Rhinolophus ferrumequinum: one gene and its partners. The protein of the gene in region 1 purifies or fractionates together with the protein of each later gene. This does not show direct contact. Links are inferred from orthologs where the notes say so. Each region holds a gene or a part of one and is shown in the gene's direction. Other genes may lie near its edges.

Region 1 (7,879 bases):
GTAGGATTGAAGGAAGTAGAAATATTTGAGGGAGGTTTTGGAGAAACAAAGGGATTTGCTGCTGGACTGAAAGTGAGGGATGGAGAGGGAGGAATCAAGAGGAAGTTGCTGAGTAGTTGGTAGTGCTATGCGCTGAAATAGGGAAAATTAGAAGTGAAATCGGTTTGAGGTAAAGGGTTAAAGTGTTGTTTTGTGGTTTATGATGCAATGTCACGTTGTCATCTCTACGGATGGATATATGGCTTTGGAGCTCAGAGGACAAATACATAGGCTGGAGATGTAAATGTGGGGCATATAAATGGCATTTACAGCACTGAAAATGAAAGACGTCACTTATGGAAAGAAGAAAAGAGAAAAGGGCCCAGGACAGAGCCCTGAAGAACACCAGCCAATACTTAGAATTCAGGTAGAAGAAAGAAAGGAGAGGAGAGGAGGGGAGGGGAGCGGAGGGGAAGGGAGAAGAGGGGAGAAGAAGGGAGAAGAGAGGAGAAGAGAGGAGAAGAGAGAAGAGAAGAGAAGAGAAGAGAAGAGAAGAGAAGAGAAGAGAAGAGAAGAGAAGAGAAGAGAAGAGAAGAGAAGAGAAGAGAAAAGAAAAGAAAGAATTCAGGTAGCAGACGAAGGCCCTTCAAAGGGGAGAGGATCGGCCAGAGTCAGGAGGAAAACCAAAAGGGGCCCAAGAAAGGACAGTGTTTCAGGAAGGATGGCGTCATCCTTAGGCCAAATGCTGCTGAGAGAAGAGAGGCATGGCTGTACATCAGAGAAGCTGTATGTGAACGTGACAAAGCAGTTTTGGTGGAGCATAAGGACACATGGAGAAGCAGAAGTAGAGGTAGTGTGTGCAGACAAGTTCTTCAAGAGATTGGGGGGTGTGGAATAGCACAATGGCGGGGACAGAGGAGGTGGGTTCAAGGGATTTATTTGTATAGTATGGGTGACACGAGCACAGTCATGTTGCTATTGGGGATGATTCAGTAGTGAGCGAGAGAGATCAAGGATCCCAGAGAGAGGGACAGTGACTCACAGAGAGAAGGCTCTGAAAAGAGAGGTGTATATGAGCTTGGTGTGCAGAAGCATGGCTCAGACCAACCAAAAAGGGTACCTTTGCTACAGCATAAGACCCAAGCCCAGGAGATCAAAGGCAGAAGGAAGGACCACACCGTTCCAGGTGGCCACTATTACTTAGCAACCTGTGCTAAATAAGATATTTCAACTAAATTCCTAATTAACCGCCATTTCAACTTGTGCTAACAGTTCCTGTCACTGGAATCCCCAACTCTACTGCTTCCCCTCCCCCAAAGTCTGGTACTTCTGTTTCTTTTGTTGAAATATTACAAAACTGGAAAGCTCAGGTTTCTGCCTTGTTTACTGTTGGTGATATATGCATGGAGATGTGAAAAAGAATACATCACAGAGAAGATGGATTTAAGGACTCTCATTCTATCTTAAAGGGAAGATGCCAAAAATTGCAAGATTTAGATCTCCAGTCAGGGCTCTCTGATGAGCTCCAACTGCCTCCTTGACCTCTTGGGGGCATCTGAGAGTAAGCAGAATGCTTCCGAGATCAGGTGTATTCAGGGTGGTACGGCTGTAGACTAAGCAGAATTCTTAATTCCTTCTATTCAACCACCCAAACTCATTCATTTCTCATACAGTTTTTATGCATTACAGAACAAGGTCCCACCGTCTACCCATCTGACACATTTACTTGGAGTCATTCTGGATTCCTCCTTCTTTCAAACCCACTCCATACATTTAATTACTGCCTCCAACGTATTTCTCAAATCTTTCTACTTTTCTGCATGCCCTCTGAGTCTGCGCTGGTCCAAGCCACCATCATCTTTCTCCTGGATCTTTTTATGAGAGTCTTCCAACTTGGTTTCCCTGCTGCCTCTCTTAACCCACCTCCACTCCCTTCTCCACACAGCAGCCAGAGAGTGATCTACGAAAACTAATCGAATTAATTCACTCCCCTGCTTAAAACCTTCAAAGGTTTCCCATAATATTCTCCTACCAACTGGAGCTGTTTACCTCCTCCCTAAACTCTGTATCTGCCAGGAATGCCCTTTCCCTCTTCTCCTAACTGGCTCATTCCCATCCTGTAAGTCAAGGATGTTTGTTTCTTATGTAGCAGGCCTTCTGGAAAGATCCCCTACCCAGGTGCTCCCTTTCCCATTTCTCCAGCCCAGCACCCTGCTAAGTTCCTTCTCAGTTGGAACTAGCTCTTTGTTTTCACTGTCTTCCTGTAGGAGGAAGTAAAGTCCATGAGGACAGAAATAGCCACCACCTGTGTCTTCTTAGAGTCCAGCATGGTACCTGATGCACTGTAGGCACTAAATAAATATTTGATGAATAAGATGATTTGCCATGAGCAGATTCTCTGCCTGTGAGATCTATGGTTGTGCTTTTATAAAAATTTAAAGATTAAACAACCCATAAAAGTATTTCTTCTGGGCTGGTTTACTTTTCCAGTTGCTGCCATTCTATGTCTAATAGGATGATAATAACTACCATTCACTGTGCCCAGTATGTGGCAGGCACTGCACATTTATTATTTCTAATTCTCACAACAACCCAATGATGTGGTCCTATTATTCCCATTTTACAGATTAAAACCTAGATTCCTTCTGTTTATCACCTTTGATGTTCAATCTTGAATCATTCATTGCACTTTGAAATCATGGGATTTTTCAAGTTCAATGAGGTTAACTTAGTCCCGTTTACGTGATGAGGACGCTGAGGGGCAGAGGAGGAAAGCCTAGGTCTCCAGCTGGAGGAACTGGGCCTGGACCCCTGTTAGTGGTAAAACAAAACTGTTCACAAGGGTCAGAATAGGAAGCTACCCCATCTAGTGCTTTGCCTTGGAGAAGCAGCCTATTGTCAGATGGAGAAAGACAAATACCGTATGAGGTGGCTTACACGTGGAATCTAAAAAATAAAACAAAACAGAAAGAGATTCAGATACAGAGAACAAACTGATGGCTGTCAGAGGGGAGAGCAGTGGCAGGGAGGACAAAAACTGTGAAGGGGATTGAGAGGTACAAACTTCTGGTTACAAAATAAATGTCACGGGGATGTAATATACGTCATAGGGATTACAGTCAATTATAACTTTGTGTGGTGTCAGATGGGTACTAGACTTAACTTGGTGATCACTTCGTAAGGTATATAAATGTCAAATCACTTTGTTGTACACCTGAAAGTAATATATTGTCAATTATACTTTAATTTTTTATTAAAAGCTGCCTGTTGTAATCCGTGAAGTCTTATTATCTAGTTCTTTAGTCATTAAGCACCTAGTGTATGTGAGGCTGTGTCCTTGGCTCTGGAAATACAATGGAGAACAAGACAGACTGTCCCTGCCCTCATGGGACTTACATTCCAGTGGTGGGATATAGACAATACACAAGTGAACAAATGAACAAGATAATTTCAGACAGAAACAAGTGTTACCAAGGACTGTAAAATGGGTAAAGGGATACAGAGTGAGGGGAGGAAACAGCTGCTTTAAATAAGGTGCCTGAGAGGTGACTTTGATCTGAAATCTGAACAATGAAGAGCCATCCACGAGAAGAGCCCTGGAAAGAATTTCCCACACAAATGGAACAGCGAGTACTAAGGCCCTGAGGCCAACTCAAGCTTGGCAATCAAGACCGGTAAGGAGAGGTGAGTGAATGGATAAAGCGAAAATATGGAGAGGGTGCTACAAGAGGAAGTTGGAGAGAAAACTGGGGCCAGGTCATTCAAGGTCTGGTGGAGTGATTGGATTTTATTCAAAGTGCAAGGGGGAGTTATTAGGGGTTTTAAGCAAGAGAATGAACATGATCCAGTTTATGACCTTAAAAGATCACCTGTGTGCATTAAAGAAGGTGAAGGTTCAGACAAGGAGACCAGCTGGAGGGCTGTTGCTGGTGGCTTGTATTAGGGTGGTAGTGGTGGAAGGATGAGGACATATTCCAGAGGTAGAAGCGACAGTACTTGTTGATAGCATGGATATGGGGCTGAAGGTAGAAAAGGTTGAAGGAAAAAAATCAAGCAAGACTTTCTCATCTATGTGATGGACCTCAAATTTAGAAATATATTTAACATATATTCAGCCTCCACTTATTACATTTAGATTTTCAATTAACCAGAGCACAGCACAGCTCAGGGAAAGAACTTGGATTAAATCTTAAATTTCAATCCTATGTGATCTTGGAAAGAGTCTAAACCCCAAGAGCCAGTTTCCTCATCTTTCAAAGGTTTAAGGACATACCTGGATTTGAGATGTTTGTAAAGCTCCATGACCGCACCTAGAACTCTAAGTGTGTAAGGAGGTTGTGGAAAATCCCAAGGAATGAGACAGAGAGCCTCATATTCAAAGCTTTACTTGAGAGACGGTAATGTAGGGACAGTGTTGCAGGATTTTGAACATGCGGGACATTTATAGCACTGGGCGTAAGAGTATTCCAGTTTCTGCCTGAATTGGAAATGAGTCTGCTAGGCATCCCGCCCAAGAGCACTTTAAATTTCTAATCAGGAACAATGCGAGGTTATTCCTGAGCCTGGAACAGTCTCAGGACCAGGGATAGACAAGGGATAATGGAGCCAAGACTAGGGACAGTTGTCCCACCTGACTATTGCAGGTGCTCAGAATTCCTTAATGAAGAGTGGGGTCTGCGTGAAGGGAAGAGCCTGGCGTAAAGAAATGAAAACCTCACGCAGGACCCGCCCTCAGCGATTTTCATGTCGCTATAGCAACGCCCCCTCCACACTCACCCACCGGGGAACTACAAGTCCCACAAGTGACCATGGCTTCCCCGCCCTCAGGGGAGAAGGGGCGCGCGCGAGCGCGGCACCGGCTGTTCCTCTTTCCTGCAGCGTGATTGGTCCGCGTCTCTGGGAGGCGGCCAATGAGTGCACTTCGGGAAAGCGACGAGGCCAATATGGCTTCCTGCACCTGGTGACGGTTGAAGAAACTCTGTTAGGTCTCATGGAGAAACCCCGGGGCGTTGAGGTGAGAGGGAGAGGACTTACCGTGTCTGGGAAAGGGAACCCCGAGAGCTTCGCCCGGGAGACCCTTCTTTAGGCCTTTCAGCGACGCCTTGCGGGTGGAGGGTGGAAGGATGGATAAACTGAGGCTGAGCCGGGCCAGAAGCGATCGGCGTGCCTCTTGCTCGGATACTGGTGGGGCCGACGTCGGGCGAGTAGTTCAGGGAGAAACAGCCCCCTGGTTTGGGAAAGGGGTACTGAGTTCAGGATGTGAGAGCTCCTGAATCTTGTTCGTCTTTCCTGTCTCGTGGTCGGGTTCTTTAGGGATTATGAGGCCTCTCATATCCTGGTGGGACGTGAAGGGAGATTCAAGTTTAAGAAACACTCCGTGTCTGGAGGAGGGTTCACGTGCATTATCTCCCAGTATACTCACGACAATCCTGTGTCATTGTTTCGTTTTTATGGTTAAAATAGCTGAGGCTTGTTAGATATTAGATAGATGGTGCGACTCTCCAACACCACAGTAAAGTACAGGATGTGGGCACTAAGTCCCTCAGGCGCCAAAACGTTGCTTGTTACGCTTTTCCCACTGTACTGCAACCTGTAACTCACTCGCCCTTTAATCATTTGGCCCTGGTCACCTTGTATTTGAATTTGGTTTCCTTTCTAGCACATTTCCATGTGCAGTTGTACATATAAAATGGAATAGCTCAAAAATTCTATAATACAAGAGTGAAGGAGAATAATCATAATAAAGTAGAGAATAATAGCTCACACTTTTAGAGCTGTCAGTAACTGCTGGAAAAAGATCTAGGCTTTATATGTCTCAGTCTTCATTAACAGTCTTCTAAAGAAGGCTTGTTATTATCTTTGTTTTACTGATGAAGAAACTGAGAGCAGCAAGGTTAATTATCTTGTACAGAAATTACACAGATAATAAGTAGCAGAGCCAGGATTCAAACCTAGGTGAGTCTGGTTTGAAATTCCATGCTTTTAATCAATAATAAATGCCAACATTTACTGAACACTTATGATATGCAAGTCACTGTTCTGAGTGCCCTACTTCTCCCCCAAAGCCAATGAAATATGTAGTAGTATCCGCATTTACAGAATTTACAGATGGGGAAATTGAGACACGAAAGGCTGACTTGCTGCAGATCACACAATCACACAGCTAGTAAAAAGGAGAGGTGGTATTTGAGCCTTGGTCTTGAGCCCAAACCCTTCACACTTTTTCTACTACATGCCAGGTAGTTTCATATGCAACATCTCATTTATATTGTACATCTTGTGAGCCAAATATTTTTCTTATTTTATAGATGAGAAAATTGAGGCCCAGAGAGGTTAAATGACTGGCCCAAGGACCCACAGCTAGTTAGGATCAGAACTTAGTCCAAAGCTATTGTAGTATATATGCTATAACTATTGTGTCTTCTGCTTCCCAAATTGTCCTTAGGGCAGTCTGGGTCCCAAATTAACTTTTCTCTGACTTGACTTGTTTTGAGTTGAGTTTATTTTGGTGTACATATGCTGAAGGGGGAACAATGAGTTTCTAATACAGGCATACGTCAGGATATTGCGGTTCCGTTCTAGACCACTGAAATAAAGCGAGTCATAATCTTTTTGCTGGTGGAGAGTCTTGCCTTCAATTTGTAAAAAACCCAACATCTGTGAAGTGCAATAAAGCAGAGTATAGTAAAACAAGGTATGTCTGTACAGTTGTCCCGTTGTATCTGCAGGGGATTAGTTCCAGGACACCTCTGGAACCCAAAATCTGGATGCTCAAGTCCCTTGTATAAAATGACGTAGTATTTGCATATATATGCACATCCTCCCATATACTTGAAATCATCTCTAGATTACTTATAATACCTAATACTATGTAAATAGTCGTTTTACTGTATTGTTCAAGGAATAATGAAAAGAAAATAAAGTCTGTACACATTCAGTACAGACACAACTGTCATAGGCCTAAGTACATAGCACACACATCACCAACAATGTAACTTTTTTCCCAAATATTTGGAATCCATGGATACGAAGGCCAACTGTATACATCTTTCCCAGGAAGTCTTCATGAGGCACCTTACTTAGGATATTTTCATATCACTGTATTGTATTTGAATCATGTTAAAATGCCATCACTTATAAATCCACAGAAGGAGCTTGGTTAATTCCTAATACATGTTTTTTCTGTCTTGTTAAGCTATTTCTTTTCATTGTGGTTGAGAACTGTATGAACAACAGGAACGATCCTGGTGCTTGCAAAGGGTAATTGATTCTGCCTGCCATTTTACCGAAGAGTGTTGACCTGACCAGGAACTGGAAAGGGAGCTGAGAGCAGATTGGCAGCCGCCCTTCCCCTACACTAAGCCAAACATGATTCCTCCCGCCTGATTTGTGTCATTCTTTCATAGGAGACTCCTTCAGAAGCAATGGAGGAAGAAGAGGAAGATGACGACTTGGAGCTCTTTGGTGGCTATGACAGTTTCCGGAGTTATAACAGCAGTGCGGGCAGTGAAAGCAGCTCCTACCTAGAGGAGTCAAGTGAAGCAGAAAATGAGGAGAGAGAAGCAGGGGAGCTGCCCACCTCCCCCCTGCATTTGCTCAGCCCTGGGACTCCCCGCTCCTTGGATGGCAGTGGTTCTGAGCCAGGTGCCTTCAGAGTGTCCCTGAAGATGGGGAGGTTTCTGGAGGCTGTGGAGGGAGAGGGGACACAGGCTACGTGAGCATCCAGGCATCCAGGTGGAAAGGGCAGTTTGATCTGACATCTAAGGGATCAGATGTCTAAGGATCTGTGAGAGACAGAAGCACCCCAAGTATCCCCAAGGGTCATTTCCTCTGCTGCAGTCTGATTTCATTCATTCTTTCATACAACTAATGTTTATTTAGCACATATTAGATGCGAGTC
Region 2 (7,920 bases), on another chromosome or scaffold:
ATACACAGGGAGAGAGTCCGAAGGGCAAAACCAACCTGGTGCAACTGATATTGTTCATGGGGATAGTACAAGGAGGTAGCCATTTAACAATAAGACATTAGCAAACAACCTAAAGTGTGCTTGTATAGAATTCAAATAGAACAGAATGTAAGAATTCAACTTTGATAGGACCTTGCTTTAAAAATGTGGTAGCAGTGTAGTCAGACACTAGCCGTTTAGCACTGGGCTCCCCAACCCAACCAGAAAAGATGAAAGTTATTCAAAAGTGTGAGAAGATGCTCTGCTCCAATCATGTGTACAGAAATAAATCACTCTGCAAGTGGTGAAACAAAATTTAAAGACCAGCTTCTTAATCTCTAATGGCATTTACAGAACGAAATTACATTGGGCTGAAGAAAATGCAAAGGATATAAACAATATTGCTGTAGATGTCGGTATCTATCACACTTACCTTCTTTCTCTTTTTCTGCAAAGAACACCTCTTGGGAGTTTATTCCAAGGAATACTCAGGAATGTAATAGCATATAATGTACACTACATACATTATGAACATGTATAACATACTTAGATTATTGTGATAGATCCAAAAAGTCATGTGTATATCACACTCACATGTCAGACCTTAAGCCAAAATGACTGGAAAAACTTTGATAGCATCAGCAAGGAAAAACTACTGTTCTAGCAGTTTGTAGTTTCTTTCTATCCCAAAGAATAAGGATGCTTTTGTCAAAGAAATGTATTGATACAGAATGAATAATGCTGTTTTCTAAAGACCAAGTGAACATTTGTTTGCTTTATCATATTTCACATACCCTTAGCTCTTGCTAAAGGGCAGATAAACTAATACAACTTCTTTGGAGAACAATTTGACAATATCTATCAAAAGCACCAATTCTTGTGCCTCTGGCCCAGTGATTTACTCCTAGCCACTTATCTTTTAGGAATACTCATACCTGTGTGAAATGAAGTCTATACAAGATTGCTCTATATTGGTGCTATTTGTGGTGGCAAAATATTGGAAACAACCTAAGTGTTCAGGGTTGGGGAACAGCATGGGTTATTTATAGTTATACATATAGTATATGTAGCAGTACAGTACTGTGTAGACATAAAAGAGAGGGAGGGAAAAAGACTTTTGTTGCACTGTTAGGGAATAAGCTGCAAGACATTTTTCTAGGTTCAAAAAGCAAGAAATGGTATGACTTTTAGTGTGTAAACTAGGGGGCAATGACATAGATAAATATTTGTGCATAAACCATCTCTATAAGAATACAAACAAACAAACAAACAAACAAAAAACACAGAACGCAGTGGTGGCCTCCAAAGAGAGGACTTTTCTATTGAGAGAAGGGAGGGAGATTTTTCACTATTTATGTAAATGTGTCTAGTCAAAAAAATTAATTCAAATGTTTTTGTTTGTTTACTTTTCTTTGATCAAAATTTCTCAACGGTCTAATGATATTTAAATTTTTTGGAATCATAAGTCTGAAACCAATGTTATTGTTTTCTAATATTTAGCAACTTTCTTTCCTTTTAGGAGAGGGTATTAGAGTTTATCTTTTCCATTATGTAAATGATATGTAGTTACCTAACAAAAGATTTCAAGTTTGCTAAGTGTATTTCTTTTTTCAACACAATTAATTCAAATGAATTTTTAATACATACAAAAAATGTCAGATAAATTCAAATGATTCATCTAAATTATTACTAACAAAACTTTGCTTTGATAAAATCTTTAACAAATTAAACTTGAACCCTGAAGATTTGTGTAAGATAAATTATCAAATATCTGACAACTTGTGTGCAAGTTTTCCTGAAGTGTATTCCATATCAATTAATTTCTGAGAATTCCCAATGCTGAGAATTAGTTTTATTTCTCCAAAATAAAATTTAATCCTACCTACAATATTTAAGAAATACCAAGAAAATTAGTATCGATTAGCATAAAATTCAAGCAGGAGGAAAAATAGAAATTTACCAATAATTTGATAATGCTGAATCAAACAAAATCCATTGTAAGGAATCCTTAGAAGGTTTGACAAAAGATTATCTTTATATTTCGTGTTGTCATGTTTTGCTCTACACTCTACACTGCGAAGTCAGCACAGTAAAGATTTTATTTTTTTTCAAATGCTATTTGGTTATTTACAATGTAATGTACCTATTGATGGCGAAATGTTATTAAGGGCATCGGTCCAGGAGCTTATCAGACAACACGGGGAGGAGGCTGACGTGCTGGCCTCACTGGGGTTCAGGGAAGGCTTCCTGAGGGAAAGACGTCTAAAATGAGGATGAGGAGTTTGCTAGAAGAAGCATCAAAGGGATAATGTTCTAGGCAAAGAAATCTTGTGAGAAGACTCAGCAGTGAAGGAAAGCTTTTGAGGGACTGAATGAGGATTAATGTGACTGGACCGTGATAAGGCGGTCGGGGCTCCGGAGTGCCGGGGACACAGCTCCCGCGCTCCAGAAGTGTGCTGGGGGACACAGCCAGGCACGCAAGTGACCGATGTACAGGGGAGTGTAATACGAAGTCCACTGACAGATTTCAAATAGAGAAGCAATGACATCAGATCTGTGCTTTGGAAAGATTTCTCTGGCAATGTAAAGTCAATAGTCACCCCTCAAAAAAAGAAAAGAAAAAGGCTGCTGTTTCATTTGACAGTGAGAGTGTAGAATCCCTTGTAGGTGGAGAGATGAAAGACAGGCAAATGAATTAGGAAGCAGTTATAATAGTCCAAGAACAATGACAACGAGCGAGCGAAGTCATGGCGCAACGGGAATCAGGAGGGAAGGGCTGAAAATCCCTCTCGGAGCGAGCGCCGACAAGCCACCGAGCTGCCCCTCCCCTCCCTTTGTGACTTTCTCATTGGAGTTCACTGAGGCATACAGCAGTAGCTTCTCTTCCCCACAGGTCTTTTTTGACAGGCTTTCATGGGGATTTGCCCTTGTGGGTGCATTTGACTGCAGGTTTACTTTTTTGTTTCCTTTCTGATGCAGGAGGCAAATACTGTTGCTAAGCGGGGAATTGAATCCATGCGCCTGGACCAATGAAAACTTTCGTGGGCGAGCATCGTCCTGGGAACTCCCTGAAAACTCGTCAAGTTCTGAACAAAACCTCAGAACAAAGAGTTAACTGCACTGCTCTTTGTTCCATTTGATTGTCACTTTACAACAACTTTTAGTCACTGGAGTCGGAAGCTTTGAGACTTGATTATAAACAGCCCCTGGGAAATCTGAAGTTCTCGCTACCATTGAAGACGGATTTTGCACCAGGGATTCGACCCCCATTATCTCTAATACAACAGATGTGCAGGTATGTTTACACTCGGTTTACAGATATAGAATCTGAAGATCCTAAAGGTTAAGTTACTTGCCGGTGAGGGCTAAACAAGGGTTGATGCAGGACGCGTTCCAGTCCTGTATGTCTGTCCCTTCTTCCATGCCACCCTCCTTTTTCAGCATCCTCCAACTCTTCAACACTCCTCTCCTGTAAGTGTTGGTCTGGCACCTCATCTCAATTTCCTAAAACGTGTACTGATCTGGAAATAAAAAGACCAGTTCTGCTAGAGAACATCTTTTTGATCATAGGCAAGTCACTTAACCTCTCTGTTCTGGGTTCCATCCCCTGTGAAATGAGAGGGTTTTACTAACTGATCCCCAGGACCTCTTCCTGCTCTATGGTTCTATGACCCAGATTATTACATGCAGAAAATTAATGGGGAACAGTCCTTGCTGCCACCATTTCTCCTCTGCCATCTTTTACACATGCCTCTTCATCCTTCAACTCTCATAGGAGGATATGTAATTAGAGACAATGTGAGATAGCCATAGATGGAGGTAATGTCTAGTGTGACTTTGCAGTCTTACTATGTTTGGCAAGTCAGTCTTCTCTATTGTTCCCCATTTGTAAATATTAACTGAGTGCATGCTATGTCTCCCAAATCTCCAATCCTACCATCTCCCCTTACTCTCAGCAGGTGACCTTGGCTTCATAGAGCATGAACTCCCTCAACTTCCTGCCAAGTCACAGGCGTTGTAAGTGTCTGGAGGGGGTGTCACTGCCCTAACCCTCCACAGCTGTGCTCACGCTGTCTTCAGCCTGGAGTGCCTGCCAACTTCGTCTTGACCCACACCTCACTTTCACTCACTTGACCCCATTTCTGGCTGCAGATAATCTAGTCACCTTTCAATCGCCTTCTCAAGAATCGGCATACCAAATTAATTAATCAACTGTAGAGTCAAATCTTGCTTCTACCACTGCCTAGCCAGGACCTGGGGTAATTTTTGTAATCTTGCTCATCTTTGTTTTCCTGATCTGTAAATTGGGCAGAAAAACACCTATCCATCAGTTTTAATACAAGATTTACATGAGAAAATGTATGTAGAACATTGAGCAGAATGCAAATGATGAATGAACACCTTACTTATTAAAAACAGTCTTTACTGGTGTCCAGAGCTTGCCTTCTCAGGGACTCTGGTAGGTAAGGGCATCTTTTAACTGGAAGAAAAAGGAAAGAAAGAGAAAGAAGCATGTAAGTAAACAATTCCGCAACGGTTTGGTTTCCAACATTTACTAAGCATCAACGCTGGGTAAGTGCCTGAGATGTGCAGAGGGAGCTCAGGAATAAATTAACACCTCTGCCCACTCAGATCCTTCAGTTACTAGTGTCATCATGTCAAGAATTCCGCGGGACAAATGCGGTTTTCCTGGCCGCCTGTTTTTGTTTTTTTGTGTTGTTTTTTTTTTTCGTGCTGTTCCCTTCCCCCGGATTCCTGCTCCACCTCTTCCTTTTCCTTAGCCATCCTCTCCGTGGATTCCGCCTCCCAGGGTTTCGCGGGCTCCAGCTCAGGACCGGATTACTGCGTGGGAGCGCTCCCGCTGTGCCAGACATGCGCACTGGGGGCGGCGCACTGCGCATGCGGAAAGATGGCGGGCATGGCGTCTTGAGAATCGTGGGTCTCCCTGCGCTCCTGCAGTCTGCGTGCTACTTCCCGGGGCCGTTGGACAGTGGCGCGTTCGTCTCCGGCCCAGACTAGCCCAGTGCACCTCCGAGCAGGCCACAAGCCCAGGTCTGGGCTCCGGGAACCAAAGCGTTGGGAGCGGCGTCCGACCCGAGCAGGAGAAGGCGGGAGAGCTCGCGGGGTGCGAGGGCGAGGGGCCGCTGGCCGGGCAGCATGAGTCAGCAGCGGCCGGCGCGGAAGCTGCCCAGCCTGCTCGTGGACCCGGCAGAGGAGACGGTGCGCCGCCGGTGCCGAGACCCCATCAACGTGGAGGGCCTGCTGGTAAGTCCCCGGGCCAGCCTGAGTCCTGCGCGCCTGGGGTCCTGGCCGGGGGCGGGGTGGGGTGGGATCGGGTCCGGGCGGCTCGCGTCTCAGGCTAGCCGCCCCTTTCCCTCACTGGGGAAGCCGCACTGAGTGTCTTCTGAATTATGAGCTCGCCCAGGGCTGGGCCGTGGCTGCTCCCCTGTCTCCTCTGGTCTTGCACTGCCCATTATGTACTACTATGAACCAACCTGGTCATTCGCTTAAACTCTGTTGCCTTCTTTCAACACGTCCTCTCAAATGTGTCAGCCTTCTTGGCTTTTACCTTGGGGCTACGGAGCACTGTTGGAGAAAGTTGCTCAACTTTGCGTTAGAAAATCTTGTTTTCCTACTTCCACTCACCCTCAGTATATCTCTGCAAGCGATCGTTTTTCTCTTGGGCTTCCTCTCCCATTCTACTTAACTGTAACTATTTAAAAGCTTGTCCATATCTCACATTTCCCACCCCACAGTTCCCCATTCAGAAAGACAGAAAAAAATGGAAGGGGAGATTGGGCTTCGTTCCAGCTGAAGGTTAATTTCCTCTATTGTTGCTCTAGATTAGATGCGATATACTGTATGTCATGATGTAACTCCCAAATCTATAAATCGAGCTCAGAGCTTTCCAACTGTCTACTAGATATCTCTACTTAGATTTGAAACTCACATGTCCAAAATTGAATTCATTATCTTCTAACCTAAGCAAGAAACAACTTTGCTGTTTCCTAGCTTAATAAATGGTAACACACCCACCCACCGTATTGTCCAAACACCTATCCTAAGCATCATTCTTGCCTTTTCTTTTTTTGAAACTGACTCCCTCCATCTTTCTAATCCAATTAAAATTAATCCCCAGTACTTGCCACTTTTAACCATCTATCTTTCAGATTGTTGCAATGTCTTACTAACCACCTTTCCTGCTTCTGGTTTTGCCCCCAACTTTTCTGTATATTCTCCACACAGCAACTAACCGTGTGGTCTTTTTACAGCATATTTATGATCATTTCATTTGGCTTAAAGACTCTATTGTGGTTCCCTAGTGCTGTCAGGTTAGATTCGAAACTTCTTAATCAGGCCCCTGGGTTTATCTTTCCTGAACTGCTTATAGTTGCTAAATTTTTCAGATTTTCACATTCTTTTGGATAAAATGGTGATTCGAATACCTATGTCTGTGTTTTTTAATTGGCTAATGATTGGAAGTATTTAATAATTAAATACATAGAAGTCTATTGCTGTGCAAAGATTAGTTATATACCTGACTGTTTGATGTTCCCATTACGTAAATGGCTTGCAAACTGAGAAGGGAGAAAATAGTATTGTTTGAAGGTAGTATGTTTTTAGTATTATTAGCAGTATATAATATAGTATTATTTTTCAGTTAAGGAACATTTAAATGAATGTAATCACCTTGGAGAAAGGTATGTTTTCAGAGGGCTCTTAAAGGGATGTTATTCTCCAAAACAGGCAGTCGGTACAAAGAGGCATCCATATAGAGAAATTTTTAACTAATTTAAAGACAGTGCTTAAGATTTTAGTTTCCAAAACTCACTTTTTAGTCTCTTCTTTTTCTTTGAAATCTCAGATTTAGAAGCATTGGTCTTTAGATGTAGGACTAGGAACGGTAGTAAAATAGCATGGAATGTGCTGACTTGCACATCAGAAGCTGCTGGTTCTTAGGCTGCTGTCATCCGTAGTGATTTTGGAGGCCTCTGCCTTCTCTGTTCCTTTCCAAGGCTATATAATAAACCTGAACAAATGAGAGGCAGATTTGAGGATTGAAAGGGAAAGACTCTTAGGTAGTCTAGTCCTGAGATGTGACTGGTACTAGGCGCTCCCTTGGTATCCGCTCAGGGAAATCACCTGCAAGTGACCTCTCAGTGATAGAAACGTTGATGCTGCCCCCGCAGTTGTGGGTTGCAGGAACTAGAAGCAGCATCATCTCTGCTGGCATCTGGGCAGGTTAGTCACATAGAAATTTACGGGAGCGTTCCTCTGAAGACGCATCCTAAAGGTGCTGAAAAGGTAAAAACCAAGTGTCCTTATTTCAAAGTGCAGGAGCCACTTTGAAAAGGCCTAATCGGCAACAGTTTGAGCCTTAAAGTAACAGACTTTATACTCATGGACTAAAATGAGAACCCAGGCTGCTCAGGTGTATTTCTGTAAGTACTGTTTCTCCACATCTTTAGATGTGAAACTAAACACAAGTTATCTGACCCCATACACAACATACAGCGTAGACTAGTGCAGCAGACATAGGATCACGGCTCCACACGTGCCTGTTCATAAAAGAGGAAAGCAAGAGTCGCGGAGCAGTAACTGGTCCACAGCAGTGCTGCAATCCAGCCTGGTAAATGTTCGCATTTCCTGATTAGGTCTCAAGGCCTGGGCATAATTCTCCATGCTCCCAGCTCCACACTCTGGGCTCTTGGTTCCACAGTCTGAGTTTTCCTTTCCTTTTCACGATAGGTAATATTGTTGTAGCTCAGTAGTTTTTTCAGCCTGCTTCCTGTCTGTGGAATTTTTAGGGAATGTAAACTGTCCCTGTCGCTTTTAGTCCACGCTGGCAGTGTTTTTGCTGATACAATTCTCCCGAAAACTGTAGAATTCACTCCTGTGAAT
Region 3 (6,964 bases), on another chromosome or scaffold:
AATTCCACCTCCCAGAGACAAATGTTAACATTTTTGTGGAATATCCTCGCTCATCAAAGCATCTCAAACTCTAATGTGCATATGAATCACTTGGGTATACTGCCATGTTTCCCTGAAAATAAGACCTAGCCGGACCATCAGCTCTAATGCGTCTTTTGGAGCAAAAATTAACATAAGACCCAATATTATGTTATGTTATTTTATGTTATATTATATTATACCAGGTCTTATATTAATTTTTGCTCCAAAAGATGCATCAGAGCTGATGGTCCAGCTAGGTCTTATTTTCGGGGAAACACGGTCTTACAATGCAGGTCTGATTTAGTAGGTCTGGGATGGGGCCTGTATTTCTAACAAGCTCCCTGGTGATATGGATACCATTGGACCAAACTTGAAGTAGAAAGGAGCTAGATTGGGCTGCCCAGTGACAAGTCCCAGTCTTGAGAAGCTCACATAGGGCTTTACCAAAGACACGCATGCAGAGATGCAAATGAATTCTAAGAGTCCTAGATTATTATTCACATCATAAAAATACTAAAAAGGAAAACTAGAGGAAATGTATGTTCTCGTATGTCTAATTCTTTGCTGCTATTATGCTTTGCCTGTGAAAGTACCTCTATTTGGGTCACTTAATAGTGTTTCTTAAGTTCCAAACGTGTGAAGATTTTCTAGTGTTTTTGTTTTTTGTTTTGTTTTTAAAGATTGTATTGGGGAAGGGGAACAGGACTTTATTGGGGAACAGTGTGTACTTCCAGGACTTTTTCCAAGTCAAGTTGTTGTCCTTTCAGTCTTAGTTGTGGAGGGCACAGCTCAGCTCCAGGTCCAGTTGCAGTTGTTAGTTCCAGGGGGCGCAGCCCACCATCCCTTGCAGGAGTCAAACCGGCAACCTTGTGGTTGAGAGGACGTGTTCCAACCAACTGAGAGCTCCAGGAGCTCCATAGCAGCTCAGCTCAAGGCCCCTCTAGTTATCTTTTACTTATTATTTCTACTTTAATTGCGTTAGGTCCAAGAACTTGTCTTCTAAGATCACAGTCCTATGAAATTTGTTGATATTTGATGTAGGGCTCAGAATGTGATCAATTTTTTTTTTTATTTTTTTTTGATCAATTTTTATAGATGTTCCATGAGAGCTTGAAAATAATATACTCTACAATTTTTGGGTGCAGTGTTTTATGTGTCTTAGGTCAAATGTATTACCTGGGTTGGGGCCGGCCTGGTGGACCAGGTGGCTGGAGCTCCATGCTCCTAACGCCAAAGGCTGCTGGTTCGATTTCCACATGGGCCAGGGGGCTCTCAACCACAAGGTTGCAGGTTCGATTCCTCGACTCCTGCAAGGGATGACGGGCTCCACCTCGCGCAACTAAGATTGAACATAGCACCTTGAGCTGAGGTACCGCTGAGCTACCGCTGTGCTCCCGGCTGGCTCATTTGTTTGGAGCGCATCCTCTCAACCATAAGGTTGCCACTTCGACTCCCGCAAGGGATGGTGGGCTGCGCCCCCTACAACTAATAATGGCTACTGGACCTGGAGCTGAGCTGTGCCCTCCACAGCTAAGATTGAAAGGACAACTTGACTTGTAAAAGGTCCTGGAAGTACACACTGTTCCCCAATACAGTCCTGTTCCCCTTCCCCAATAAAATCTTAAAAAAAAAAAAAAAAAAGTATTACCTGGGTTGATAGGTCTTCATATTCTATCAATTACTAAAAAGATATCTGTTAAAATCACCAGTCTCTCTATCTGGAAAGACTTTCCTCATCACTTCTGCCTACTTCTCCAGGCCTCCATCCAACAACTGAGGATTCATGTTCACCAAAATATGATCCAGTCTCTGCAGATCCCATCCTTAGCCTGATGGAGCTGACAGCCTAACAAGACTTACCTGATCACCAATACCTCCCCACCCCACCTCAGACCTGGAAATATTTCTCCCTCCTCTGAGCTCTTACAGCATTCACTGTCTGCGTAGCTAATTTAACACTTAGTTTGTGTTCACTGCAATTATTTGTATTCATAATTTACTCCCCTATCAGGTTTTAGATTCCAGGTGGGCAAAGATTATCCTATGTTTTATATCACTGCTTTATTGAAATACAATTATTGACAAACCATAAAATTCGCTCTTGTAAAGTACACGATTCAGTGGAACACTATCTTATTTATCTTGGCATCCTCTGTAGCACTGGTTCTCCATCTTGGTTGCACATTGGAATCACCTGCAGAGCTTTAAAAAAAATACTGCTGCCTGGTTCTCACCCCCAGAGGTCCTGACTTAATTGGTTTGGGGTGCAGCCAAGGCATTGGAATTTTTAATAGCCCTGGAGTGATTTTAACTTGTAGCCAGTGTTGCCCTGTAGTGCTTTGCACATAACTGGCACCCAATAATTGTTTGTTGTGATCATGAATTAGCTCTAACTTCTAATATCTAGCTAACTAACTCATGCAAGAGCTACCTTCCCTGTCTCCCTTATAGCCCATCAGCTTTTATATCATAATGGTCTGCTTATGTCTGTCTCCCCCACTTAGTGTGAAAGAAGACTAGGAGACAAACGCATTTAGAAAAGATGTTTACTTGCAAAGCTGTGCAAACTTCAGTAGGACTGGATCACTGAATAAGAAATACAACAGTTATTTAAAGGGAAAAAAATGTAAAGATTACCACATTTACATGTCTCTTCAGCACGAATGATATGGGGATGTATGTCACAAAGGTTGTGACAAATATCCTCAAACTTCTGTATTCAAAAGTCAGGGATAAAATGGTTTTCATGAGGGAATCAGAAATTTAAGAGAAAAGCTCAAGATTTCATTCATTTTGGAGACCAGATGTAAAAGAGTAGTTCGGGTACTTTGTTTCTGTCAGGGGTGAAAGTGTCTTGTTTTCTCTTCCTGTGGGACTTGATGTACACTCTTAAAATGGCAGCAGGGTAGTCTCATTTTTGTTTCCACAGCTGTGAGCAGCATGAAGTCTGGGACAGTTCCAGTCTGATACATTATGGCATCCCCATGCTGGCACATGTAGGTGTTCAATAAATATTGGTGGAATGGATACAATGACACCTCATGCCACCGTATCTAAATATGATTCTAAATGGACAGGAGGTGCAGTTTCACGTTTTGATACTTTTTGCAATTCTAAATTATGGTACTCTGAACTGGGGCACTCCCTAAACTGCCTCGACTGCAACAAACTCAGAAGAGGCTTTTACTTCCACAGAAACGGTTGTTAGGGGTGGGGGGTGGGGTGTCTGGGAATGTATGAGCCTCACGTGAGTAGCAAGGATGGTCATTTGGAAAGATTTTCGCCTCTGGCAGCTGTCCCTCGGTGAGGCCGGTCATCCTGCAGGTCCTGTAACACTATTTAACACCTGACATTGACACATCTTCATAGCCAGATCCTCAGGGTCCTTCTCGTGGACGTCCCGAGCCTCGTCCCCTAGTCTGCCGCAGCAGGATCCCCAGCTGGCGGGTTACGCCCCAGGGCGCAAAGCTGGGAGACTCAGGAATTAAGAAGACAAAGTAAAACCAGTCGCACCAAGGAGAGACAGCGTTATTTAGGAAGCTGGCTACTCCCCCAGAGCCTCCACCCTGTCCCCTGGGCCCGGCGCCCGGCGCTCAGACCGTGCCCGGCTTCAGGAGCTCCAACTCCCTCCACGTGTCCTCTCTTCCCAGGAGTCTCCACGGCTGCCTCGGGAGAAAACCTCCTGACAACTAGGAGTCGCAGACTACGACTCCCAGCAGGCACTGCGCTGCTTCTCTCTCCGCCCACTCCATGGGACACGCAGGCGCTCTGGGCTCCGTCAACAAGTTGGGCTGGCGTCGACTAGTTGCAGTTCCTTACGGGATTTGTAGTTTTCTTGGCGCTAGCTGTGCCGTCAGTCAAAAGAACGAGAACTACAAGTCTCGGCGGCCCCAGCGTGACCAGCCTGGTCACGTGGAAGGGGGCCGACCGGGCGTGCGTGCCGCCGTTGATCTGGTGCTGCAGTGAGGAGGTGGTTCTCGCCCGTGTTGAGTGTGTGTGTGAGTGAGAGAGTGAGTGAGTGAGTGAGTGAGTGTGTGTGTGTGGGGACTCGGCTTGTTGTTGTCGGTGACTTCCCTCTCCCCTCCACCCTTCCCTCTTCCCCGTCGTCGCTGCAGTGGCCGCTCCCTGGGCCGTAGGAAATGAGCGATAACGATGACATCGAGGTGGAGAGCGACGTGAGTCCCGGGATTTTTTCCTTCCCTTGCGGGTTGTCAGGCAGGGACTGCGGCCGGGGCTCTCAGCGGGGTGACGGCGGCAGGGGGCCGGGCAGCAGCCGCCTCCTTCCCCTCCCCCGCCCCCCGGGCTCGGACCGCCTCCGTCGCGCTCCCGGCTTGCTCCCCTCCGGGCTCCTGGCCCGAGCGGCCTTCTGAGCCTGGAGGTGGGAGGGAGATACGCGGCCTCTAGGACCCTCATCCTCCCCCGGTGGAGGAGGGTGCTGCGGCCTCCCGCTCCCACCCTATACCGCTCAGGATCCGGGGGACAGGGACGGGTTGCGCCGGGATCCCATTGTCCGGACCCTAGGGAAGGGGACGACGCTCAGGACCTGCCCCATCGGTCCGTGATCCCCTCCTCTCTTGACCCGCGGATCCTGGGGGGGTGAGGGAGGACGGTGAGGGGTTGGGAGTGCCCAGATGCCCAGAGCTGGGTCCGAGGAAAGGAAACAGTGCTCTGGTTCCCTCCAGCCTGGGTCGGATCCTGGAAGGAGGGGCGGCGCTCGGGACCCCCCTATCCCGCCACCGGATCCCGCTGGGGGGGTTAGGGGTGTGGGGGAGGGAGGGAGGTCGGGCTGACTCCCCACCCGCCGCTTCCTCCGCCGCCGGCATTTTCTTTCTTTAATGAATGTGAAGTGTAAAAATAACTTCTATATTTTCTATTTTTTTTCTCTCTTATTCCAGGAAGAGCAACCGAGGTTTCAATCTGCGGTACGTCTCCTACTCTCCATTTCATTTTCATTTCCATTCAGTTCTAATCCTTTTTGGGGTCAGAGAGAAAAAGATCATTCTATTACTTTTAATAATGTAGTAAACTCTCCTGTTGATCGCTAAGGTGAGGTTGGGGCCTTGTTCTGGGGTTCTAGGTGGGGAGGTGGGTTTGCAAATCTCATAATTTTAGGTTCTCAGGTGACAAGTTGCGGTGACCGGATGAGTGAGAGAAGATATATGCAAAGGAATGAATCGTTCCAAAGTTTTCTGATGGAGGAATCTAGCTGTCACTATATAAGTTGTAGATGAGAAATGCATCATTCTGAAGTAAGTTGTATGATTTCAGGGCAGAGTGGTCGAAAGATTTACTTGGGAACAAATCGATTCTAAACCATATCTATCTAGTTGTTTGAAGCTGGAGCCACATGCAGTGATCGGCTTTAACCAAAAGTCATGTGACTGCTGTAGACTTACTGAATCTAACACACCATGGTATTATTCTAATACAGAAATTGGAAATGTAGAGGAGCCAGAGGTTGAATATGAGAGTCACATACAGCTTATTGTGTAGTCTGATGATGTTTAAGTTGAAGGAGAGAGATAAAATAGAAAAATAATTAAAGAAAGGTGGCATTGCAGAGGTAGTTTTGCTAAAAGGTGATGGTTGAAACCATACAATATCATCAATAATTTGTCAGGATTTTGGTATTAGTGTTCTCAGTAGATGGTTCTATGGATGTAGATACAGATGTAGATATAGATACAGATGTTGATATACATATACACTAATAATATCTTTGGAGTCAGAGACAGTCCTGTGGGTGTTCCATGAATAGATGAGAGAAAGAAAAAAAGAACAGACACAAAATCAGAATCAGAGGGGAAAAGAAATAAGTATATTAGCGTGTCCACTGTTTGACAGCTGGGAACAGTAAGTGTATAGAATGTGGTCAAAAATTCCTATGCCTCTGGGGGACCTAGGCAGGCAGATAGTCACAAATAAAGTAGAGAGCAGAGGGCAGGACTGGGGTACGTGTTATTTTTCTGATTTTTAAAATGATGTGTGGGACAATCAGGTTGTTTGGAGGCTTACTAGAATTTGCAGGATGCCACTTTGATACCTCTGGTCTAAGAATTTAATTACCACAGGATAAAAGCAAGCCCTCTTACTGGTACTTTCATTAGAGCAAGCAAAAATTCTGCAGTTTGTCCAAGCAGATCAGCATTAAGAAAAGTTTTATTTATTGAGAGCTGATATTTCAATAAAAATCTGAGGATAGAGTTTTAAAAATTAAAAATTACCCTGGCTAATAGTGACTAAAAAAAATTTATTTCTCCTTGAAGTATTGTCAGATACTGAAGTTTATATATATATTTGAAAATTCAGTTCCTTTTTTTATCAGTTACTATTACCATTAATAATGTGAACGTGGAATTTCATGCTTGGGACCCAGTCTATTTAAAACATCTTTTTTTCTCCAAGTCTCTATAAAATCTGCTCCAGGGTTTGATCAGGGTTGGAGGATATGGATTTGAATTGGAATTATTATTTGAATTGGAATTACATTGGCTTTTCAGTGGGGGAAAAGTTTTCCATGTGAAATTTTGGCTTACTGTTCTTGAAAGCTTTCTGCTTTTCAAAGTATTCATCCACATGGGCGTTGATGTAAATTGCTTTATTAAATTATTAAAATGTTTCCACTCTCCTAGAATGCTAATCTCATTGTTTTGTCTAGATATATTTTGAGTTTGTTGTTAAGGTGCCTACGATTTTTCTCTTTGATTTTGGTGGGTGGGCAAAGGGAGTGGGTTTGACCCTTTGTTTTTAATTTGACATCTACTTGCTGAGACTTTTCAGTATTATCTGGCACAGGAAATTACAGTAGCATGGAGAGAAGAAGCCATAGACAAATTTTATAGTGTATCAAACAATTATAAACATGTAGGGTAAAAAGGATTACATTATTTTTCTCTGAATATGTGTTCCTGACACTTAGCATAGATAATAAATGTATTATTTA
Region 4 (7,044 bases), on another chromosome or scaffold:
GTGCTGGAAAAAGCATTGCTCTCACCACCACCACAATAATCTAAGTAATGTACAAAATCATAACTTTTTCTGAGCCAATCAAAGAGCTGAGGTCACAGGGCAACAACTAGCCTGAAACCTAAGGAAAGACAGGTGCTTCTAAACACAAATGAGATGCAAGCACTGGGTTATCTGTGGCAGAGCTTGGGAAGGAAGATGGTGTAGCCATACAAACAGGAAAGAAGAATTCTGCTAAATTTTAAAATAAATTGCTAAAGACGGAGTGTGGGCTGGCAGGGAACCCCATGGGAGGCACAATCATAAGGGGAGTTCACATCCACTCCCAGGGTCTTCTCCAGGGACTTCCACGGGGCACCAAGGACAAAGATTTGGAGTAGGGTGGCGGACAGAAACAGGCTGCTGGGTGGTAAAGTCCTAGAGGAGAGGAGTGGCTGCCACTGTAAGAAAGGCAACAAGACGCCCAGACCTTGTCCCCCAAGGAACAAAAGACTTCCATTGATGGAGGAAGGCAACAAACCTGTTTTTCCCCAAAGGACATGTGGAGACCCATTGCAGCTGGAGGAATAGGAAAAAGGGGAAAAACCTTGAATCCTGGGAGAGAACTGGAAACTGTTGTGCCCAGACCATTAGAGGTTATAATGCTGAGGGAGGATTAGGGCCACGGAGACCCAAGGACCCAGAGCCTGCCCAAGAATGAAGTTGGAACAGGACCCACCGCAGAGAAGCTGTTTTCCTTCCCCTCATCCCCACAATCAGTCTAGCAAGCACCAAGTAACAAGCATTCACTGCTGGAAAAAGGCAAGAGCTTAGAGTGACCCTCTCTGAGTGGCAAGAACACAGAAGGCCTAACTAAAACTGGACTTAATGACAAATGGACTCATGAACAAAGGAACTTCTGAATAATCTTTTGGAAACTAACCTAGTTTAAGAAAATATTATTCACTAGCTTATAACCAGCAGTATGCCTGGCACACAATAGATGCCCAGTAATACATTTATCTATGGAGAGGCCTACCCAACTCATTCCTCTATACCACCACCTTTTCGTTTTTTTCTATCGATATTTCCCCCATTATTTTTAAAGGTCTATTTTTTTCTACTTGTTTATTGTCTGTTGCTTCCTCTAGAACTGTGCTGGTCCATATTGTAGTCATCAGCCACATGTGGCTATTTAAACTTAATGACAAATAAAATGGAAAATCCCATTCCTTAGCAACACTAGCCACATTTTCGTTTCTTGACAGCCACATGTGGCTGCTGGCTACTGTATCAGATAGTATGGCCATAGAAGAGTCCCACCACTGTGGAAACTTCCTTTGGCTAGAGCTGCTGTCTTGCTCACCACTTTATTCCCAGTGCCCTGCATGGTGCTTGGGATCTAGTAGATGACCAACGCATATTTGCTGAATAAATGTTTTTAGTTCATCTGGAAAAGCCATCACATAAATGTAAAGCAAAGATCCTCTTTTGAAATATAGATGTTTTGAATATCAGTGGCTCTTAGGAGCTAAAATCCTTTCTTTGAAAAAGTAAAAGATTAGATTATAGGTTAGGCTGTATTGTAGCTTTGATTATTAATAGTTTTCAGTCACTGAGCACTTACCATATGCCAGGTGCTGTTCTAAATGCTTTACACATACTACCTCATTAATCTTCACAACTACTTAATGATGTATGCACTATTTCCAATTGCAATAACTGACATGCAAGAGGAAAGGAAGTTGCCCGACATCACACAGCTCTTAAGCAGCAGTGTCAGAATTTGGGCCCAGGCTGTCTGGCTCCAGAGGCCAAGCGATTAACCACAACACTAGCTAGCTCTGTGTGATTATTTTTAATAAGAAACATTTAGGCTCTTTTTCCCAGTATTTAAAACTTTTTCTCTTATTTAATTGCATCTAGCTAAGGCACCCTGAAAAATGTTAAATAATAGCTGCTAAAGCCCTGCATCTTTGTGAGTTCCCTGGCTTCAATGTGAATGCTTGTGCCATTTCACTCTCTCTAATGTATAATGCTACTGTTGTTTTCTGATGACGATCTTGATCCAATTAAGGAAATGGTCTTTCATTTCTAGTTCAGTAAGAATTTTTAAATTCAGAAATGGCTGTTGAATATTATATAATGCATCCCTAGAGAATATCATTTGGCTTTTCTCCTTTAATTTAATAAATTACATGAGATTTCTTAATGTTAAACCACTGTTCTTGGAATAAATTGTACTTTGTCGTGGTGTGGATTCTTTTTATTACCACATTATTGGATTTGATATCTTAATACTCAATTTTGTCTTTGTAACAAAGTCATAGTGAGAACAGAATTTCCCACTTTTTTTTTTTAGTACTGCTTACCTTGGGTTTTGCTAGCCTTGTGAAATAAAGTGGGAAGTTTTCTCCTTTGGGGGGATTCTTTGTTTCCCTGGGCTTGGGTGCCCCATCTCACTCCCTTTTTCCTTCCAGAGGTGCTCCACGGTACTACCAACCCTTTAACCATGAGGCTGTTTTGTCACACTAACTCTCAAGGTTTCTTGTAAATGGGGCTCACCTACAGATCCCCAACAAAGCCTGTGTATAATTCAGCTTTCTCACGTTCTGTGCATTGGCCACAGACCTTCCCATTTCCAAAGCTTTGCTAATTTCATGTCACTGGCCTTGCTAAAGTCTAACCACTGAGTTTGAGGTGGGAGTTGGGGGGTGGTGTTGATCATGGCAGAATAGAACGAACATTTGAGGCAGAGACTGTGTAGCTACTTGACACTCCTCTCCTCATTTAACCCTCAGAATCCTGGGAAGCTTTATTTTTATTTTGTAGATGGGAAAAGAAACTTGATAAATGTTATATACTGATAAGTGAAGGTGCCAGAATTTAAAATCAGCACTGCTTGATTCCAAAGTGATTGCTGCTTCCACTACCTCTCACCTCCTCCACTGTGTTCCAGGGCTAGTCTCTCACGTTGACCTGTATGTCCTCCTCTCTCCATTGGCAATTATCGACTGTACCACACTATTTTACATTACACTCTTGTATTTTCTATTGTTACTTCTGTGTAGTTCTTGTCTCACACAGAGCAGTTATTACCTGAATAACCTGTCAGTGCCTGTTTATATGACTCCAAATTTGGGTATCTTTTCTTATTTTATAAAAAAGGATAGCGGGAAAAGTAAAAGGAAAAGGTGACTAAACACAAAGAATTTTGATTGTGTTAGTCTTAGCTGTATACTGCAAACAAGTCCCTTTCAAAATAAATTTAACTCTGCGTGTTCTCCCAGGGGCTTTTTAGTGACCCCTACAAAATTAGTGCCTAAAAAACGAAAAGATTTGGCATTTGCGAATATTGGTCACCTCCGCGCTCAAGCACATCAAACAGCAGCAGGATGCTGGGAATCGCACCTGCAGCACGCACTTTCTAGCAAGGAAGGGTAGAAGAGGAAGCCCTTACACCCGCAGGTGTGATCCCGCTCTTCCCCCTCCCAGCCTCAGTCGGATGGAACATTCCGCGCGAAAGCTTTGACAGAGCTCCCACTCAGAGTCACGTGGAGCTGGAGCGTACTTGCGGCACCTTGCGGGATGACGCGAGCTCGGGTTGCTAAGGGGAGGGACAGGCGCCGCGGAAGGGGCGGGGCGGAGGAAGCCGGCCGGGGAGGCGGGGCGGACGGAGTGGAGGGGCGGGCGGAGAGGGGCGCGCGGGCGGGGAGGGCTCAGCGTATTATGGGATGCGGCGGTGGAATGGCGCTGGGCGCGTGATTTTGAACAAACCCGGGTCTGTGTCTCGGAGGCGCCGCCGCCGCCGCGGCTGCTGGGAGCCCAGGGAGCGCGGCGCGAGGAGGAGGCGGCGGCGCCGCCGGCTTTGGTAAGTGTCAGCCCCCGGGGTGGGGGCATCTGGGCGGGCGGGCGGGAAGGGGCCGGGCCCCCGCTTCGGGTGGTGGCGCGGGCGGAGGGCGCCGGACCGCCCCCTCCTGGAGCCGGGGCTGGTGGGTCGTCGCAGAGAGCGGGAACCTGCAAGCTGGGGGTCGCCGCACCCCACCCCCGGGCCGCAGGGGGCGGGAGGATCCTCCGGGCTCGGCCCCTTCCCGCCCGCACCCGGGAGGGCGGCTGTCACCCGGCAGCCCGCCCTTCCTGGCTGTCTGGAGGAAGGGCTCCCGCGGCTGTTGACACGCACACTGCGTGGCCGGAGGAGCCGGCAGTGTCGGCCCGGGATTTCTGGGAACCGGTTTTGCTGCTGTGTCATTTTGTACCAGCCCCTCCTTTCCCTCCTGCCCGCCGCCCGGGTCTTCCTACGCCCCTTTGTATGGTGTCTTCTTCGTGTGTGTCCGTTTTCCTCGCGAAGCCCACCAGCCAAATGTCATAATGTTCCCGAGGTGCACGGGGGAAGGGAGCGGGCCGGGACTTAGCTTGGCCAAGCAACGGTAAACACCAAGAAGACTGCGGGTGGACGAGGCTGGCGGTGGGGAAATAAAGTTTAAAGATGAAGACATTGGGTAGACTTGATACTCTCAGCCTCTAACAGGCTACGCATAGAGACGGCGATTTAGGCTGGGTGGTAAATAACATTAGTTTAAGCCTGAATCTACCGACTTTTATATGGAGTTGCCATTCAAGCAAGGTAAGGAAATGGCTTTTTCAACTTCTACCTCGCTCTTAGACTAACTTTTAAAAAAGACAGTAGAGAGGCCCTATTGGGAACCTTAAAATTCAGTTTGCTCATTTCAGATAAGTCTTTTAGAGCTTATGCTGTAGTTGAATGTATAGAAATTCAGTTTTTGAATGGGTGATTATCATATCTTTCTGAAATTAGCAAAGGTAGCCAGTTTAGTTTTTAAAAAGATACTGGTCTTATCAGAAGTCTTGCAGCTTATGTTTTCTTGTTGTTTTTGATAATTAAAAAATACCTATGTGCTCTTATTTATTAAACTGCATGATGAGAGGAGCTGGAAGGGGTGGGTGGGTAACTGGGGTCTTCTTGTTCTAAAACAAGCTGTTTCACTGTATTGAACAGTGGTAGATTTTTTATTACTATTATTTGGTGACTTAGGTCCTAAAAACGTGGCAAAGAATTATTTTAGCTTAGAGGTAAATTTTCTGTTTTAGAAATTGTTCATTCATGAATAGGATCAATACATGTTAAACGTAGTTGCACTTTAACGTCATAAACCAATTGCAGACAAATTGAAAGTCACAATGTTCATAGACAGAAATGATCAAATGAAATTAAGTGGAGAGATAAATAATTCAGAACTTTATTTTTAAAACTGGTTGTTTGACCATAGTATCTACATGAGGATCAGTGCCTGTAATTTACAAACGTGTTAGAAAGGTCAGACGTGCATATGGAAATAGCTCATTCTGTCAAAGTAGTGCTGACAGAGGAGGAAAGTGTCAGAGTTGGTGAATGACGTGAAAGGTCTTGATCATGTTTTTAGTGTCTGAGATGGGCACAGTGAATACAACGCATTCCATCACCTCTATCAAGTTGCTTTTCTGAAAATTAAAGAATTTGAGTGTATTGTCCTTGTCGCCTTCCCCATGGCTTTTGCTCTTCAAAAGAAAAATGTGCGGGACTGGGGATCCTGCAGGTAGCGCGACTTCCTTTGGTGTGGCTGTCGGGCCCGCAGGAGCACCATTTTTCGTTGTGGGGTGAGAGGTCTCGGCGTGGGCTGTGTGTACATTTGTATCTCCCTGTGCATTTGAAGGTTGGCGGGGCGGGCGGGAGGTTTCCCCGGATATGTGGGTGTGCGCCTCTCGGGAGGGGAGGGCTGGGGATGGGAGGAGGAGGAAGGGGGAGGTTACTGGCGGCGGCGGCTGCGGCGGCCCGGGCTCGGGCTGTCGGGGAAGCTGCTGAGCTGTGATGGTGATGACGAGGTGAAAATGGCGGATCTTTCGAAATACAATCCCGGCCCCTGACATACCAGAGGCGGCGGCAGTGGCGGCGGCGCCACCCGAGCTCCCTTTTCGGTCCCCGCGTCCCCCGTAGCGCTCCACTTCGGGCAAACTGGAAAAGGAAGCGGCTGGCCAGAGCTACCGTGCACAGGCAAACAAGCACCGCCCGGGCTCGGAATTGCCCGGGACCTTCTGGAGCCCCCACCTTGGAGCCGGAGGGAGGAGAAAGCGGCAGCCGCTGGAGGTAGAGAAGGGGGTACCCGAGGGCTTCTCTGTCTTGAGATCTCTTTATTTTGCAGCGGTGCGGGAAAGAATTGCGTTGTGAATCAAGGAATGACTAGTCCGGAGTGCAAAGAATCAGTAGCCTCATAATGACATCAACATTATTCTTTGAGTGTTAAGAGGGCTCGAGTTTGCTCTAATATCTAAGGCTGCTGCTGAGGCCTAGAGGAACCGCTAGCACTTATCATGATTTCCTGATTTAATTTTCAAAATATCCACTCTGGCGGGCGTTGGTGTGATGATGTTCAGCAGGTTATGGGGTTGTATGTTTCCTTCAGGGAGGCAGAGCATTGGCATTTTATTCTGCATTCAAGCTCTTGTCTTAGATCATAGTCTATAACTTGTTGAGATGTGGATGCTTACATTTTTTGAGCGCATAGACCAGTTTTGTAATGATTAAAAATGTTGTTGTTTTTTTTTATGACTCTGTCATCCAAAGAATGACCTCTTTGCCCTGCTATTGGCAAATTACAATTGAGATGTTGTCAGGCATGTTTTATATTTATATGTTTCTCTGCCCCCCTCACCCCCCATCTATTTCATGAATCAGAGAGTAAAGTTATGGAAGATTTTGCAGTGGATTTTATAATCCAAGTGAACAATAGCCCTGGGAGTTCTATTTTGCTTAACAAGTTTTACCTTCATTGTAAGAAGGAAGTTGTGGTGGCTTGATGCATGCATCTGATGTGAGTACATTAGGTTAGTAAAGATGAATTGAGAACTCCTACATTCTAAATATTGGAGCCATTTGTTTAGACAGCTGGAGAAGTAGATTGATTGACTTTATGACATCCATAGTTTAATTTTTATTAGGTTACCTAAAGATCCATGTCAGATCCCTAAGGAATCTGTTTCCTTGCACAGGACAGTAAGTAGTGTTAGTGAAAA

Evidence for each region.
Region 2: the proteins of L3MBTL2 (region 1) and E2F6 purify together in Homo sapiens (affinity purification with mass spectrometry; 5 studies listed by BioGRID and IntAct, counting the BioPlex papers as one, with this or other methods). This does not show direct contact. The link is inferred for Rhinolophus ferrumequinum from reciprocal best matches to the Homo sapiens genes L3MBTL2 and E2F6.
Region 3: the proteins of L3MBTL2 (region 1) and MAX purify together in Homo sapiens (affinity purification with mass spectrometry; 6 studies listed by BioGRID and IntAct, with this or other methods). This does not show direct contact. The link is inferred for Rhinolophus ferrumequinum from reciprocal best matches to the Homo sapiens genes L3MBTL2 and MAX.
Region 4: the proteins of L3MBTL2 (region 1) and LIN54 purify together in Homo sapiens (affinity purification with mass spectrometry; 3 studies listed by BioGRID and IntAct, counting the BioPlex papers as one, with this or other methods). This does not show direct contact. The link is inferred for Rhinolophus ferrumequinum from reciprocal best matches to the Homo sapiens genes L3MBTL2 and LIN54.

Annotation. Positions count from the first base shown.
Region 1 is NC_046293.1:6,693,216-6,701,094, reverse strand, and holds the start of L3MBTL2 (lethal(3)malignant brain tumor-like protein 2), read left to right. Parts: upstream 1-4,875; 5' UTR 4,876-4,969; coding exon 4,970-4,993; intron 4,994-7,385; coding exon 7,386-7,623; intron 7,624-7,879. UniProt on the Homo sapiens protein: Putative Polycomb group (PcG) protein. PcG proteins maintain the transcriptionally repressive state of genes, probably via a modification of chromatin, rendering it heritably changed in its expressibility.
Region 2 is NC_046296.1:64,748,335-64,756,254, forward strand, and holds the start of E2F6 (transcription factor E2F6), read left to right. Parts: upstream 1-4,909; 5' UTR 4,910-5,175; coding exon 5,176-5,283; intron 5,284-7,920. UniProt on the Homo sapiens protein: Inhibitor of E2F-dependent transcription. Binds DNA cooperatively with DP proteins through the E2 recognition site, 5'-TTTC[CG]CGC-3'. Has a preference for the 5'-TTTCCCGC-3' E2F recognition site.
Region 3 is NC_046289.1:30,902,216-30,909,179, forward strand, and holds the start of MAX (protein max), read left to right. Parts: upstream 1-3,944; 5' UTR 3,945-4,160; coding exon 4,161-4,196; intron 4,197-4,916; coding exon 4,917-4,943; intron 4,944-6,964. UniProt on the Homo sapiens protein: Transcription regulator. Forms a sequence-specific DNA-binding protein complex with MYC or MAD which recognizes the core sequence 5'-CAC[GA]TG-3'. The MYC:MAX complex is a transcriptional activator, whereas the MAD:MAX complex is a repressor.
Region 4 is NC_046288.1:37,908,704-37,915,747, reverse strand, and holds the start of LIN54 (protein lin-54 homolog), read left to right. Parts: upstream 1-4,028; 5' UTR 4,029-4,578; coding exon 4,579-4,600; intron 4,601-5,816; exon of another isoform or gene 5,817-6,118; intron 6,119-7,044. UniProt on the Homo sapiens protein: Component of the DREAM complex, a multiprotein complex that can both act as a transcription activator or repressor depending on the context. In G0 phase, the complex binds to more than 800 promoters and is required for repression of E2F target genes.